3 linked regions of the Schizosaccharomyces pombe genome follow. Each later gene encodes a partner of the first gene's protein in a complex. Each region holds a gene or a part of one and is shown in the gene's direction. Other genes may lie near its edges.

The links. The genes of interacting proteins can lie anywhere in the genome.
Region 2: cnd1 (region 1) and cut14 share a complex: the UniProt entries of both Schizosaccharomyces pombe proteins name them as parts of the condensin complex.
Region 3: cnd1 (region 1) and cnd2 share a complex: the UniProt entries of both Schizosaccharomyces pombe proteins name them as parts of the condensin complex.

Annotation. Positions count from the first base shown.
Region 1 is NC_003423.3:3,198,516-3,204,523, forward strand, and holds cnd1 (condensin complex non-SMC subunit Cnd1), read left to right. Parts: upstream 1-1,572; 5' UTR 1,573-1,622; coding exon 1,623-1,737; exon of another isoform or gene 1,738-1,807; coding exon 1,808-1,886; exon of another isoform or gene 1,887-1,911; intron 1,912-1,977; coding exon 1,978-5,260; 3' UTR 5,261-5,471; downstream 5,472-6,008. Other genes in the region: Dbf4(Dfp1)-dependent protein kinase Hsk1, read right to left, coding at 1-173, 232-460; phospholipid--diacylglycerol acyltransferase Plh1, read left to right, coding at 5,933-6,008. UniProt on the Schizosaccharomyces pombe protein: Regulatory subunit of the condensin complex, a complex required for conversion of interphase chromatin into mitotic-like condense chromosomes.
Region 2 is NC_003423.3:2,877,187-2,883,233, reverse strand, and holds cut14 (condensin complex SMC subunit Smc2), read left to right. Parts: upstream 1-1,865; coding exon 1,866-5,384; 3' UTR 5,385-5,547; downstream 5,548-6,047. Other genes in the region: SPOM_SPBP4H10.07 (ubiquitin-protein ligase E3), read right to left, coding at 1-1,429; S-adenosylmethionine decarboxylase proenzyme Spe2, read left to right, coding at 5,865-6,047. UniProt on the Schizosaccharomyces pombe protein: Central component of the condensin complex, a complex required for conversion of interphase chromatin into mitotic-like condense chromosomes.
Region 3 is NC_003421.2:408,854-413,880, reverse strand, and holds cnd2 (condensin complex non-SMC subunit Cnd2), read left to right. Parts: upstream 1-1,789; 5' UTR 1,790-1,813; coding exon 1,814-4,042; 3' UTR 4,043-4,527; downstream 4,528-5,027. Other genes in the region: histone H3-K4 methyltransferase Set1, read left to right, coding at 1-1,116. UniProt on the Schizosaccharomyces pombe protein: Regulatory subunit of the condensin complex, a complex required for conversion of interphase chromatin into mitotic-like condense chromosomes.

The DNA of each region.
Region 1 (6,008 bases):
TGTCGCGTAAATTTTTTTTATAGCAACGTACTTCGGTTTCCGGCTGTCTTCATTAACAGGAATTTTTTCTTTTCCAAAAGAAGATTCCTTTAACACTTCACTTTGAATGTCCCAATCATTAATATACCTCCCATAATGTAGGTCTTCCGCTTTATATACACTGGAGAACGTACCTAAACGAATTAGCAAGATAGTTTCAAAACAGTACTAAAAACGGTAATTGAAGTTTACCTTCTCCAATTTTTTCAATTAGCCGATAGTTCTCTTGTAGCTCTACGAACGTCCTTGTGATATTTTCAATTTCTTCGCGGTCTCGTGCAGGGATATCTTGAATCATTTCTTGAGATTTGTTTTCGTTTACATTTTCATCGTCCACCTCAGTGATTTCACATTCAGAATCAATATCTGTTTGTTGTTCATGAGTTACTTTAGGTGATAGTGTGATATGGGCCTCTGCCATGTTAACGGTTTAACTCATATATTTTTAAACCAAATAATAACTTAAAAAAAATTAAAAGAGTCGTCAATTAAATGGTAAAATGCTGCCAAGGGAAGGAACCAAGAAAAAACAAATTTTCACGTATTTTAAACCTTCAAACCGAACACGCGAACGAATACTAAGATTCAAAAAAATCAAGTTTTTAAAATGTGTAACACAAACTCATTCCATGAATATAAGAATTTGCAGATTCCAGGTTCAACACCAGTTGTACATTGTTAAGCAAAATGCTCTTCTAATGAGGGACATTGTTACTTCCAAACAAGAAAAATACATTTTTAATCCAACTTTTGTTTAATAAAAAAAGTACTCTGCTATAATATTTGTATACTTATGGAAAAGATTAAGATTTCATGTCCTTTATCTTTTTTTAAATTTAGGACTTGCTTTAAAAAACATAAATCCTTTGGGCTCTTGTTATTGTTAATAACCACCATAAACAACTAGAATTGACTATTTATTGGACATTGAGAGTAAATATGATTAACCATGGTATTCAAACACGTTTTTTTTTTCTGTTATTTAAAAATAAATAAAAAAATTATCCTGAATTTGAAATTTATTCCTAGTTAAACTACGATAGGTTTTCTGTTTAGTTTATTGTGTATTACTTTAAAATTCTAAAAACAGCACAAATGCTTACCTCGTCAAAATTTGCATTCATAATAATTTTGAAAATCACCTTGAAAATGATACATGCGCCAAAATAAATTATAAGTTTTTATATCAGAAATACAGCTCAAGAAAGAATTTACAACTAACGTTATTCAAAAAATATATTAAATTCTTTTCAAAACATTTAATTAGAAGTACTAAAAAGAACAATAGCTTTTACGTGGCACGCTCAATAAAAGTTAATTAAAATATTATTTTTTAATGTAAACAAATGAGTTAATAAAAGCACGTTCTATATCCTTAAAGTGGTTAGCAACAATTAAGTCTAGCTCCTATTTTATATTTTGACTAACCGTAGCTCTTTTTTGTTAGTAAGAAAGTATAAATGGACCCCCACACAGGACATATAGGTGGGGTTATTGTTTACAAGGACTACTAGAATGTAGTACGCCAAATCCATCTTTTATTTCATTCGTAACATAGAAAGATTCGGCTTTCAGTGGCCTCAATGTCGTTGGATCTTCTTTCTAGATTAAAGAAATACATTCATGATGAAGAAAATTCCGACTTGGACTCGATTTATGCTGAATGTGAAAATGCTGGATTGACAGCCGTGGTTAACGGTATGGACATTTGGGTTTTTAAAAAAATTGAAAATGATCGATTCCACAATAACTAACAATGAAAAATTAGACGTCATTGATACCCTTTTATTAGGAACGAGTTCTTGTTTCGACGAGGATTGCTTGGAAAAACTCTTTGCTATATGTTCGTAAGTAGTTGTTATTTTGTGTTATTCAAATAGAAGGAAGCCATTTGGTTTACTATATATCAATTTTACCAAACTAACAATAATGGTTTAGACACTTTGCTGACCTCTCTTCCTCTGTAAGGAATAAAGTATATGATTTACTCACGAGTAATATCAGCTCTGAATCCGCTATTCTTGAAGATATGATTTCCGCAAATGCTACTGATTTTACTGTACCTCAAACGAATTTAGAAACTACAGGCATTGCATTTCAGCTCACGGTCAATTCCCTTTCTTCCTCAAATCAACTTTCAGTTATTCGGTCATCCACTAATACTGTTAAGGGAAGAAAAAAAAATCCAACTACTAACTCTAACTGGAATGGTATCTCACATGTAAATGCTTTGTTAGATGCAATCATAACATTATTTCAAAAAAAATTATCTCGTGTATGGACTACTTCTTCGGAAAGAGACATGTTTCTTTCACTTTTCCTAAAACCAATATACACGTTAATGGAAAGTGAAATTAACATAAAAAATGCTTCTTTCCGTTCTCGTTTATTTAATATTATCGGGCTTGCTGTTCAATTCCATAACCATACCACTGCAGCGGAGACAAATATTATTCAAAATTTACAATACTTTGAGCATTTATCTGAGTATGCTGCTGATCTTGTTCATATTGTTACCGTTCAGTTTAATTCCGTTACCTTGGCTGAAGGAATTATTCGAACATTGTGCTCTCTAGAATTTAATGATAACGATGTTAAAGGTCCCAAGCAAGTCGCTTTGTTTCTTGTCCGTCTTTCTTCACTTATTCCAAACTTATGTTTGAAACAGCTTACTCAATTAGTTAAGCTGCTTGATTCGGAATCATATACTCTGAGATGCGCTATCATAGAAGTACTTGCTAATGTGGTCATTGATCAAATTCATGATGAGGCTCAAAATGAAATGTCAGAGTCAGTGCCAGCAACTGTTCAAAGCTTAATGGATCTTCTCAGTGAGCGATTACTAGATATAAGCCCTTACTGTCGTACTAAAGTACTTCACGTCTTTATCAAAATATTTGATTTACCAATTAAGTATCCCAGAAAACGTCAAGAAATCGCGGAACTCGTGATCAGATGTTTGCAAGATCGGTCAAGTCATGTCCGCCGAAATGCAATTAAGTTATTTTCTAAACTTTTAACTACCCATCCTTTTTCAGTTATGCACAATGGCTTACTAACCAGAAATATTTGGGAGAAAGGATTATCTATCATCGAGGAACAGCTTAATTCTTTACAACCAAAGCAACAAGAAAAGGTGGTAGATTCAGAGCTTGAAGTCGATGAAAACTTATTAGAGGATGCTACTATGATCCAAGATGATGAGTCACATGAAGGAGAAAGTCACTTGGAAAATTCTCTAAGCGAATATGTCGATTCTGTTCCTGCTGAGGAAATAGTCAAAGTGAATTTAACGAAACGGTTTTATTTAGAAGCACTCCAATATATAGACATTGTGGAAGCGGGAGCAAAAATAATAAGCCAGTTGTTGTTTGCTAAAAATAAGAGCGAGGTAATTGAGTCAATGGATTTCTTTGTTTTTTGCAATTCTTTTGGAATTTCGTCTTCAAAATTATATATAAAAAAAATGATTCATTTAATTTGGGTAAAAGGAACCTCCGACGAAGGGAACAACATTCAGAACCATGTATTGTCATGTTATAAAACATTATTTTTTGAGCCACCTCCGAACTCTGGTACCAACGAAGCCGCAAACTATATTGCGAGAAATCTTATTTCATTAACATATGATGCTAGCCTTGCTGAGCTTACATCACTTGAACAGATGCTTTGCATTTTGATGAAAGATGGGTATTTTTCACATCTAGTCATAACAAAACTATGGCAAGTATACAGTTATCAAAAGAAGGATATATCTCGAACACAACGTAGAGGATCCATCATAGTAATTGGAATGCTAGCATTAGGCAATACCGATGTTGTCATGCAGGGCTTGGATCATCTTATTCAAATAGGACTTGGTCCCCCTGGTTTGGAGGATTTAGTTCTTGCAAGGTACACATGTATAGCGATTAAACGTATTGGCAAAGATGCGTCTGGTTCTTCTAATATTAATTTTCCAAATTCGCATACGCTTTGTCAAAAATTATGTATGCTTTTACTTCGACCATCGTTCTCTGAAGAGTGGTTTGGGTTAGAAGAGCAAGCTATTGAGGCTATATATGCAGTTGCCAAACATCCTGACGAACTTTGTACCAACATTATTTTGCTTTTGACGAAACAACTCTTCAAACCTTCCAATCATGAGAATACTACCAGTAACGATGATCATGCAATGGACGAAGATTTAGATGATTCTCCAGAAGAAGAAACATTAAAAGATGAGGAAGAAATAGGTATACGACTGGCGCACTTAATATTTTTAGTAGGCCATGTCGCGATTAAACAATTAGTCTATATCGAATATTGTGAGGCAGAGTTCAAACGGCGAAAAGCGGACGCCGAGAGATTGGCCGTACAGAACTCAAATAATCCTATAAATGGGCAAGAAACTTCTGAATATGATTTAATTACGGGAACAAGTGAAGATGATTTTTCAGAAGCAATGACATTTATTCGTGAAAGGGAGTTGCTCTATGGTGAGAATTCTTTACTTTCGAGATTTGCTCCATTGGTAGTAGAATTGTGCTCAAATCATAAATCGCACAATAATCAAAGCCTTTTACTAGCTGCTTCTCTGACTTTGTCCAAATTTATGTGTCTTTCTAACAATTTTTGTATGGAACATCTTCCATTGTTAATAACCATTCTGGAGAAATGTGATAATCCGATTATTCGAAACAACTTAGTAATCGGGTTAGCAGATTTAACTGTTTGTTTCAATCATTTTATTGATGAAATATCCGAATACTTATATAGAAGACTGATGGATGAAGAGTCTTCTGTCAAAAAGACATGCTTTATGACTCTAGCATTTTTGATTTTAGCTGGTCAAATAAAAGTAAAGGGCCAGCTGGGTATTATGGCTCGTTCTTTGGAAGACGAAGATGCTCGAATTTCTGATCTTGCTCGAATGTTTTTTACTGATTTTGCAGCCAAGGATAATTCTGTATATAATAACTTTATTGATATCTTCAGTGTATTATCTAGAAGTGCAGAGGAGCAGGATGAGGACGACGCTAAGTTTAAGCGTATCATTCGTTTCTTGACGTCCTTTATTGAAAAAGAAAGACATACCAAGCAATTAGCCGAACGTCTGGCTGCTCGTCTTGATCGGTGTAAAACTCAACGTCAATGGGATCATGTGGTGTATGCACTTTCTTTGCTTCCTCATAAAGCCGATAATATTCAAAAGCTCATTGACGATGGATATCATGAATAAAGTCAATTCTAATGCTTTATCTTACATATTCAAAATCCTTTGTATATTAGTATTGCCTAATTAAAAAGAAGAATGACGGTATACCTTTTTTATAACGAATTGAATGTTAATAACTATAACTTCATTGATCTACAACACCCATTATTTGCAACAATTAAACAATTCAAGCGCAAGTTAAGGTAATTTAGTTATTAGCTAAGTAATTTGCACATTCTAGCTGGGTCATTAATTATTTTTTGTGCTTATGAAGAAGATTTAACTTTACCCTAGAAAACTATTCACCTTCATTAACTGCTAAGTAAAACTGAGGAACTCTTCTCAATTTTAGGCTGTATCAAATATTGGTAAATTACATACTTGAACAGAGATCATTTTTTGGAACTGTCATCATCCTCTCAGGCTAGAAGTTTTGATAATAAATATAATCGGCATATACTGAGTATAAGTGCATTGTAACGTAACTCAGTTTAACTAGAAATAAGGTATTTCAAACTTTTAGACACTAAATCAAAATACAATTGTAGAAGGAAACCGATATTAAACGTGTTTCTAAAGCAACTTAACGCTCACTTCGTTATCACTCCTGCTGTAGAACTATGACAGTAAGGACTTCGCTTACTTATCGAATGTTTGGCAGTTGCTGCTCAAGCAATTCATATTTTAAAGTTAACTATGGCGTCTTCCAAGAAGAGCAAAACTCATAAGAAAAAGAAAGAAGTCAAATCTCCTATCGACTTACCAAATTCAA
Region 2 (6,047 bases), 320 kb from region 1:
GTGCTCTCAAAACAGGATGATTTTGAGGTACAAAAGCTTCTCGAACGTATATGGCCCAGCTTCTGGGCAATTGGTGGTCCGTTTGCGAATTATTATTTCTAGTTTCAGGTGCTTGTTGAGTGGAGGATCCATTATTATCGGAAATCCCATTTACGTCTGTAGCAGTAGAAGCTTGCTCGTCTTCGGAAATATGTTCTGCCTCATTAACATTTTCATTTGGCCCCGTATTATCACTAACGGACGTTGTCTGATTTTGCGAGTTAACAAGTGAAGATATCAAATCAGAAGGATGCATTAAAGTTGGGGAATCGGCACTTGGTTGATCATCTTCATCACTTCCTGAATTTCTTAGACTTCGGATGCCAACTATTATAATCGGGATTACTTCTTGACCTTCATGATTTCGGTGTAAATTGTCAAATCTAAAAGTTCGAAAAAGGTTTATAGGACCAGATTCTTCTTCAAGATCCACAGCATTTGCAATTAGTTCTGCAGTCCTAGGATTAGTTTCTGCGTTCATCGCCTGCACCAGATTACCAGCGTGCAAAAGCGATAAAAATTCATCGAAAGCAACATTTCCAGATTCCACATTTCCAGAAATTGAAGAAGGAAATTCTAAATTGTTTGATTGATGTGCACTCGAAGAATTCATCAGTACACTAACCCAACCAGACGCTACTGAAAACACAAATCGAGAAAGCATGACTAGTTGACTTTCTTCTGGAGAAACAGATGCTTGTTGAGTATTTTCACTATTATTAATATAGTTCATTACCGCACGAGTATAGTCCTCCATATTTGAGTCCGCTAGAGAAGTGACAGATCTTACCGGCAATCTTCCAATTGCAGTTCCCGGAGATTCTAAATTATTTACAGAGCCATGATCCTGCATTTCCTGTCCACCGCTCGAACTGACGTTTTCATCTTCATGATTCGATGCCAACGTAGACTGATTGTTTTGGGTATTTAAATTGCGTAAAGCAGCAATACTAGAACGAAATCTTCTAGCAGCACGTTCAAATTCCTGTTGGTGATTTTCAAGGATTAACCTGTCTGTTTGAGGTATTGCAGATGTTTGTGATTCGCCTTCTATACGAGAGCGAGGAGTAGCTGGTGTAGCTGGTGGACTTAACGACCTTAGAGAAGGAGAATTCCTATTCAAAAGCGAACCACGGTAGCGAGAACGAAAAGCCGATCTTTCAGTAGTTCTATCACGATTACCATTTTCCGAATTGCCTTCATCGTTACGATGCCGCTTTGCTCTTCGAAGACCTAAGACTCGCTGCAAAGAGGGAAAACGATTCCACAGCCTACTAAAGCCAGAATTTTGTCGATCTGAATCATTAATGTTTTCACTTTCTGATGAAACCGCCTGCATACTTGCGTCCCTTTGAATTTGCCGACTGGGAATGGATTCACCTTGCCCCATTTGTGTAGTGAGTGCAGTACTGATTATCAAATATAGTTAAATAACAGAAAAGATAAAATATATGTTTTAAATTAAAAAGAATTTAAACAAGTTACTTGAAAGTATTAAAATACATAAACTAATAAATCTAAAATGTTAATAGCGGTAAGCTTTTTGCATACTAAGCATCATTACGTAGTTTAACGTTGCGGTAAATGTTATTAGAGTAGTCGCACTCTTTTATATCTACTATGAAGTCTTATTTCACCTTTAATGCTTTAAACGACAAACAGCTTTAATCATTTTTACACTAAACAGCAAACAGTTCGGACTGAAATGTACTGCTGAAGATTTATCTCCCTCTAGGAAATACTTTACAAGTCAATCAGTTTTTTGAATTCTAGTCTTAAATACTTGGGCTTCAGTAAACAAACAGAACGAGAAATTTACTGAAGAAATGAAAATAGAGGAACTCATCATTGATGGTTTCAAATCATATGCTGTGCGAACTGTCATTAGCAATTGGGATGACCAATTTAATGCTATAACGGGCCTCAATGGGTCTGGAAAAAGTAATATATTAGATGCAATATGCTTTGTCTTGGGAATTACGAATATGTCGACTGTCCGTGCCCAGAATTTACAGGACTTAATTTACAAACGCGGACAGGCAGGAATAACCAGAGCTAGCGTTACCATTGTGTTTAATAATCGGGATCCTGCGTCTTCACCAATTGGTTTCGAGAATCACCCGCAAGTAAGCGTTACAAGACAAATTATCATGGGCGGTACAAGCAAATATTTGATTAATGGACATAGAGCTCTGCAACAGAATGTTCAAAATTTGTTCCAGTCTGTTCAGTTAAATATTAATAATCCTAATTTTTTAATTATGCAAGGTCGAATCACCAAGGTTCTTAATATGAAGGCTACTGAAATTTTATCAATGATTGAAGAAGCCTCTGGTACTCGAATGTTTGAAGAAAGGAAAGAAAAGGCTTTTCGAACAATGCAACGAAAAGAAGCAAAGGTTGAGGAGATTAATACACTGTTAAGAGAGGAAATCGAACCCCGACTTACCAAACTTCGTACAGAAAAAAAAACTTTTCTAGAATATCAACATATTTATAATGACTTGGAACGATTAAGCCATCTTTGTACTGCTTACGACTATTATAAGTTGTCACTTAAAGTGGAGGAATTAACGGTTCAAGCATCCCAGAAGCACAGCCATATCGCCGAGATGGAATCTTCATTACAAACATCGAAACAGGAGGTTTTAATACTAAAGGAAAAGATTAAAAAAATTGAAGATGAGCGAATGAGACAAATGAGTGTTTCTTCGGATCGTACCTTGGACTCTCAGTTACAAACTGTTAATGAAAACATCACCAGAATAAGCACGTCGATAGAATTAAAGAATACAGCTTTAGAGGAAGAGCATGGGGACCTTCAACAAATTCGTGGAAAAGCTAAGGAATTAGAAACTTTGTTGCGCGGAAAAAGGAAACGACTAGATGAAGTGCTTAGTGTATACGAAAAAAGGAAAGATGAACATCAAAGTATTTCAAAGGATTTCAAGTCTCAAGAAGAGCTAATTTCATCACTTACAACTGGTCTTTCCACTACAGAAGGTCATGAAACTGGCTATTCTAGAAAACTACACGAAGCTCGAGATACGTTGAATGACTTTAAAGCTGAAAAAGAAACCAATCGATTAAAGCTTGAAGGACTCAATAAACAAATATCTTTAACTAAACCTAAGAAGGCTGAGGCTACAAAACGATGTGATCAACTCAATCGCGAAATCGATATATTACAAAACCATGTTGAGAAGCTTAAAATGTCTTTAAAAAATACAAATTCCGACATTACAGGTGAAGATGTACTCCAGCAAAAGTTGAAGCAACTTGCTAAAGATCGCGGCAATTTGTTAAATGAACTTGATGCTTTAAAAAGCAAACTTGCTTATATGGAATTTACTTATACCGACCCTACTCCTAATTTTGATCGCTCAAAGGTGAAAGGATTGGTGGCTCAATTGCTAACCTTGAATGAAGAGAATTATGACAAGCAAACTGCATTAGAAATTACAGCTGGTGGCCGCCTTTATAATCTCATTGTTGAAACCGAGAAAATTGGTGCACAATTGCTTCAAAAAGGAAACCTGAAGAGGAGAGTTACTATTATTCCCCTCAACAAAATTACCAGCTTCGTAGCTTCAGCAGAGAGAGTAGGCGCAGCCAAAAAAATTTCTAATAATAAAGCCCAACTTGCTTTGGAATTAATCGGTTATGACGATGAGCTTTTGCCTGCAATGCAGTATGTTTTTGGCTCCACATTAGTCTGTGATACCCCTGAATCGGCAAAGAAAGTTACCTTTCATCCTTCAGTTAAATTAAAAAGTGTCACGCTTGATGGTGATGTTTATGACCCATCTGGTACCCTTACTGGTGGGTCTGTGAATAAATCTGCCGGTCCTTTACTACAGATACAAAAGCTGAACAGTCTGCAGCTAAAATTGCAAGTAGTTACTTCAGAATATGAAAAGTTGGAGACTCAACTTAAAGACTTAAAGACTCAAAATGCCAATTTTCATCGACTTGAGCAAGAAATTCAACTAAAGCAACATGAATTAACACTTTTGATAGAGCAAAGAGAGACCGACTCATCTTTTCGTCTTTTATCTGATTATCAGCAGTACAAAGACGACGTTAAAGATCTCAAGCAAAGGCTTCCTGAATTAGACAGACTTATATTGCAAAGTGACCAAGCTATAAAAAAAATTGAACGAGACATGCAAGAATGGAAACATAACAAGGGATCAAAAATGGCTGAATTGGAAAAGGAGTTTAATCAATACAAGCACAAGTTAGACGAGTTTACTCCTATATTGGAAAAGTCCGAGAATGACTATAATGGCGTTAAACTCGAATGTGAACAATTAGAAGGCGAATTGCAAAACCATCAGCAATCTCTCGTACAAGGTGAATCGACCACGAGTTTAATAAAGACGGAAATTGCAGAACTTGAGCTGTCACTTGTTAATGAGGAGCATAATCGAAAGAAACTCACCGAACTAATAGAAATTGAAAGCGCCAAGTTTTCTGGACTTAACAAAGAGATAGATTCACTCAGTACCTCAATGAAAACATTCGAATCTGAAATAAACAATGGGGAGCTAACAATTCAAAAGCTGAACCACGAGTTTGACCGATTAGAGCGAGAAAAATCAGTTGCTATAACTGCTATTAATCATTTGGAAAAGGAAAATGATTGGATAGATGGACAGAAACAGCACTTTGGTAAGCAAGGAACCATTTTCGATTTTCACTCTCAAAACATGCGTCAGTGTAGAGAGCAGTTACATAATTTGAAACCGCGATTTGCTAGTATGCGTAAAGCTATTAATCCCAAGGTTATGGACATGATTGACGGTGTAGAAAAGAAAGAAGCCAAATTGCGCTCTATGATAAAGACCATTCATCGCGATAAGAAAAAGATCCAAGATACTGTCAAAAGTATTGATCGGTTTAAAAGGAGTGCCTTAGAAAAAACCTGGAGAGAAGTCAATTCTTCTTTCGGTGAAATTTTTGACGAACTACTTCCTGGTAATAGTGCAGAACTACAGCCACCAGAGAATAAAGAATTCACTGATGGATTGGAAATTCATGTAAAAATTGGGTCAATTTGGAAAGATAGTCTGGCAGAACTTAGTGGTGGACAAAGGTCTCTAGTTGCATTGGCTCTTATTATGTCTCTACTTAAATATAAGCCTGCTCCAATGTACATTTTAGATGAAATTGACGCGGCGCTCGATTTAAGTCATACCCAAAACATTGGAAGACTTATTAAAACAAAGTTTAAAGGTTCTCAGTTTATTATTGTTAGCCTTAAAGAAGGAATGTTTACCAATGCTAATCGACTATTTCATGTACGATTTATGGACGGATCATCTGTGGTACAAGCTCGCTAATTTGAACGTAAACACTTGAATTATACGCGCATGTATAGTCCTACTATTTACTATCACCGATGTCTTAATTTATTTAAAGAATATTTCTACCAATCATTAAAAACAAGACTTTTGGTTCTTTAAAGTTGTTTGTGCCGCTAATGAAACTTAGACTACGGTATGTATCATATGTATAAAATATCGTAAACTCATCATTTCCAAATTTATTATTAGCGTCGATGTCATTTGTAGCATATTCAAAAATATTTAGGGTAGGGTTTTAAAATTTTGATCGATACAGGATGTTTCTGTGGTTATGTATTTAGCCTCAACATCATATAAAATTGGTGCGACAGCCGCAATTAAGTTATTATTTGTATGCTTTTTTGCTAATAAATATCCTAAAAGTGTAACTGGAGCAACTAGCTAGTACGTGTTTTGGGAATTACACTCACAGCGCACATATAGCATTGGAAGTTCTTTGTATGACTATATTCTAAAATGTCTCCTACCCTTGTTGTTGATCAAGAGAATTCGGAAGAATTTAACACCTCCTCATTTGAAGGTCCTGAAAAATTGCTGGAACTATGGTTTTCGGCTCCTATAAAAACCAATTTAAGTGCGGGTGAAAAGGCTAACTTGGGACTAAAAGCTGTTTCTCGCAATGATTGGGATGATATGCTA
Region 3 (5,027 bases), on another chromosome or scaffold:
TCAAAGAAAAAATATGAAAAGATGGAAGTTGACTATACTTCGTCCAGCGAAACCGAATCAGATGCATCAATACTTTCTCCTAGTGCTGCGATTCCAAAATCAGGTAGCGCCATAAAAGATGAACTCATATCGCCTAAGAAAGAGATTGATGAAGTTTTAGCTTTAGCTCCCAAATGGCGTATTAATGAGTTTGATGAAACTGGAAGCGTTTATTATGGTGCACTTCCTTACAATTATCCAGAAGACGATGTACTTCTTGACTTGGATGGTCTACAGTACTTGGTAAAAAATGACGAAGATTACTCATATCTTCAAGAGGCACTCAAGGATGAACCCCTCATGGATATCAACGATCCCAATTTCTGGGCTTATGAACGCAAGTCATGTAAATTTAAGAATGGGGATGTTAAGTATGGAGATACGGCTATTCTTCCAGAACCTAAAGGTTATTTTCGCTCTAATACTAGCGGTTCTGCTAAAAGTGAGGGATACTATATTATTCCAACTACCGAAAAATCACTATATCTACCACTTCGTAATCGATCAACCATCGATACTATTAGTCATTCTACAAGCCGTATCACATCACGAATGAATCGTGTTAACAATAGAAGATTGGCTGCTGGAGTTGAAAAGTCTCAATTGCCAGCCGAAGCTGACTTGCTCAGATTCAATGCACTAAAGGCTCGTAAAAAGCAATTACATTTTGGCCCTAGTCGCATTCATACATTAGGGCTTTTTGCCATGGAAAACATTGATAAAAATGATATGGTCATAGAGTATATTGGAGAAATCATTCGACAACGGGTGGCTGATAATCGTGAAAAGAACTACGTTCGTGAAGGTATTGGAGACAGTTATTTGTTCCGTATTGACGAGGATGTTATCGTTGATGCTACAAAAAAGGGAAATATCGCGCGTTTCATCAATCATTCATGCGCTCCTAATTGTATAGCTAGGATTATTAGAGTTGAAGGGAAAAGAAAAATCGTAATTTATGCTGACAGGGATATTATGCATGGAGAGGAACTTACTTATGATTACAAGTTTCCGGAAGAAGCTGATAAGATTCCTTGTTTGTGTGGTGCTCCAACATGTCGTGGCTATTTAAACTAGACAATGATGCTCTTGGAGAATTGATGGTACATGAATATATGGGCAGCTGTACAATTATAATAGTTCGTTTAAAAAGCACGCATTATATCTGATGGTACACTAATGCTTTTTATTTTTTAATATAGAATAGAATCAATTTTCTGTCTTACATCGTCTGCATTTGATATTGGTTGAATATTTTGAGAGTCAGGATAAATGCGCATACCATTCAGTGGATTGCATTCAGGAGTGATTTAGAAGTAAAATGTTAAGAGATATACTGTCTTAGATATATCCATTTGCTCCACAATACTACGAAGTTCAAGTTTAAATAAACGAAAACGAAAAATAAAATTCTCTTAAAACTTGATAGCTACTGAATTTTAGGATCCAAACTTGATTTGGTATTACCTTGTTAATTTTATATGGAAGATTTATAATAATTGAAACTTCACAAAATTTGTAACAGAATAATAAACAAAAGACTTTTGACTTTGTAATCGGGAAGCCATCAATGAAGTAAATTGGGAAATACTATATTATTTGAAAACAAATTTCAAAAGAAAAATAATGTTATCATATTGGCATTTATTTAGAAACTTATTTGAATCTTTATCATTTGTTGATTAGAAAGAAATATACGGCATATCGTTAAAGCGCGATATACGTATAGGCACACCGACTTACCACTTGTGAACATAAACATTTACTTAAATCAATGAAAAGAGCTAGTTTAGGCGGGCATGCGCCCGTTAGCTTACCCTCCTTAAATGACGATGCATTAGAAAAAAAAAGAGCTAAAGAGAACAGCCGTAAGCAGCGCGAGTTGCGAAGAAGTTCAGCTCTGCACTCAATAACGCCAAGAAGAGAATCTCTAAACAATTCTTCACCATTTAATAGCTCTCATCAGGTTCCTGTTCTTTCTAATTTTGAGGAATGGATTAAATTAGCTACTGACAACAAAATTAATTCCACAAATACCTGGAATTTTGCGCTTATTGACTATTTTCACGACATGTCGCTTCTACGTGATGGTGAAGATATAAATTTCCAAAAGGCAAGCTGTACATTAGACGGATGCGTGAAAATTTATACTTCGCGTATTGATTCTGTTGCTACTGAGACCGGCAAGCTACTCAGTGGATTGGCAAACGATTCCAAAGTATTGCAGCAAACGGAAGAAGGCGAAGATGCTGAAAATGATGATGAGGATCTACAGAAAAAGAAAGAGAGAAAGCGTGCACAACGTTCGGTAAAGACTCTCGTTAAAGATTTCGAGTCAATACGCGCTAAAAAATTTGAGTTAGAATGTTCTTTTGATCCTTTATTCAAGAAAATGTGTGCAGATTTTGATGAGGATGGTGCTAAAGGCTTATTAATGAATCATCTTTGTGTTGATCAACATGGACGAATTGTATTCGATTCTAGCGATACTGTCATCAAGGATTTGGAAAATAAAGATGTTGAAGCTGAATCGCAGGAAGCGGTAGTCGCAGCGCCTATCGAAAGCCATGACACAGAAATGACTAATGTGCATGACAATATTTCTAGGGAGACCTTGAATGGTATTTACAAATGCTATTTTACCGATATTGATCAGTTGACAATATGTCCCTCCTTACAGGGCTTTGAATTTGATAGTAAAGGGAATCTTGATGTCTCTCTCTTAAAATCATTAAGTGATGAAGTTAACATGATAACGACAACCTCCTTAGTGGATAATACGATGGAGAAAACTGATGCTGATGCAGCTTCCCTTTCTTCCGATTCCGATGGTGAAGAAGGACATATTGTGCATGCTTTGGAGGAAATGGCTTACGATGAGGAGAACCCATATGTTGATGTAGTACCAAAAGCAATGGACGAATCCGAAAATCCAGATTTTGGTGTGGATACTGAAGTCAATATGGCTGATGGAAGTACTATGAATGAAAATTATTCTATTATTTCTACTGCCGCTGCGAATGGAGTATACGAATATTTTGACAAGTCAATGAAAAAGAACTGGGCTGGACCCGAACATTGGCGCATTCAGGCATTGAGAAAAAATATCAATAACGCATCAACTGTATTCAACTCTTCCAATACGGCTGAAAGTTCAGATAATGTATCGCGTTCTCTTTCTTCCACGGAACGGAAAAAGCGTCGAGAACTTGATAACGCCATTGATTTCTTGCAGGAAGTAGACGTCGAAGCACTGTTCACTCCTGCAACCAGCAGTCTCAAGCTTCCCAAGTCTCATTGGAAAAGACATAATCGATGTTTACTACCTGATGACTACCAATATGATTCTAAGAGGCTTTTACAGCTTTTCTTGAAACCAAAGATGTCAGTTCTACCCAACGCTGATGGAGAAGGACAGCTACAACTGAATAAAGCCTTAGATGATGAGAATGATTTGGACGGTATTCAACCCCATGGATTCGATTCTGATGGCAGTGATAATGTTGATGAAGGAATACCCCCGTATGGATTTGGAGATTCCGATAGCCCTAAGCAAACACCTCTGCTTACACCTCCATCATCATCAGGATTTGGTGATAACCTTTTGTTAACTGCTCGTTTGGCAAAACCAGATATGCTGAATTATGCGAAGCGTGCTAAAAAGGTTGATGTGCGAGTACTGAAAGAAAAGCTATGGAAATGTCTAGATCTTGAAAACACAATTAAAGAAAATTCCATCAACTCTCATATTGAGGGTTCGGAGATGGAGTCAGAAGAAACCAACATGCCAGTCAAATCTTTTTTTTCCACTGTCAATCAATTAGAGGAGACATACGAGAAAAAAGAACTCAAAGATATATCCACCAGTTTTGCCTTTATTTGTGTTTTACATTTGGCGAATGAACATAATTTAGAGCTTACAAGCAACGAAGATTTTTCAGATGTTTTTATTAGGCCAGGTCCTAACTTGACGACGCTAGAAGCATTAGAAAATGATGTTTAAAGTGTGTAGAATCGAAATGATGCAGGTCATCATTAATTAGTCATCATCGCATACTTTTAGCTAGCGTGAATCATTTTCAAGATAGCCGGAAATTATACTCTTTTTGATCTACCTTGAATAATAAAAACACTAGCTCGTATTTTTAGGCTGTTACTACTTTTTGACATTGAAGAGTTGTGAAAAATGAAGAGTGCAAATTGCATTTTGTGGAGCAAGCTGACAGCGAAATTTTTTGTAAAAAATACACCTTCCTTTTATCTTGTGATCGTTGAAGACATCAGTATCTTGCTTCTGCCTGTTAATTCTGTTGGAACTCACTTAGCAGTTGACTCTTTGGAAATAACGAGATATTGCATTCATTACATGCTTCTATTCTCGACAATATAACAAAAAATAATAATTATTTATTGTCTCTATGTGAGGTTTTTTACCTATAATAGGATTAAATTGTACCAATATACGGTTATTCATATATTGTGAAACCCTTTCAAAGTTAGAACATATCGATTTGAGTACAGAAATGTAGGGTAATTTTATCTTTTATGTTAATCTTTCTCAAGAATCTATTTTTTTTTGATACAAATTATTAAATGAATTATCAGAGAAAATGAAATTTGTCAATGACCAAGCTGTAGAATAATTTCAACACCGTCAACGAATGGACTTTGGCTCAGTAAAATAAAGTTAAAATACATCCTTTTAGTTAAAGAAATAGGTTTATAAGCAATCTATGAACTTTCGCAGCAACGTTAGTTCATCTAGTTTTACCATAGATTTGAAATAGCGTTTAAAGCAAAATTACGCTATATACGATAGTGATTCATAATTTAAATAAAATGAGTTATGCAATACAATTATTACAATTTTTTCTGTTGCACAATATCTATTTAGCGTTGCTTTCTCAATGTACTTTACAGTGGGTAACAATCAATGGCTTAGAATACTTTGTCAACATCCAGGAAAAGTAGAATTTATCCTTTCCCTA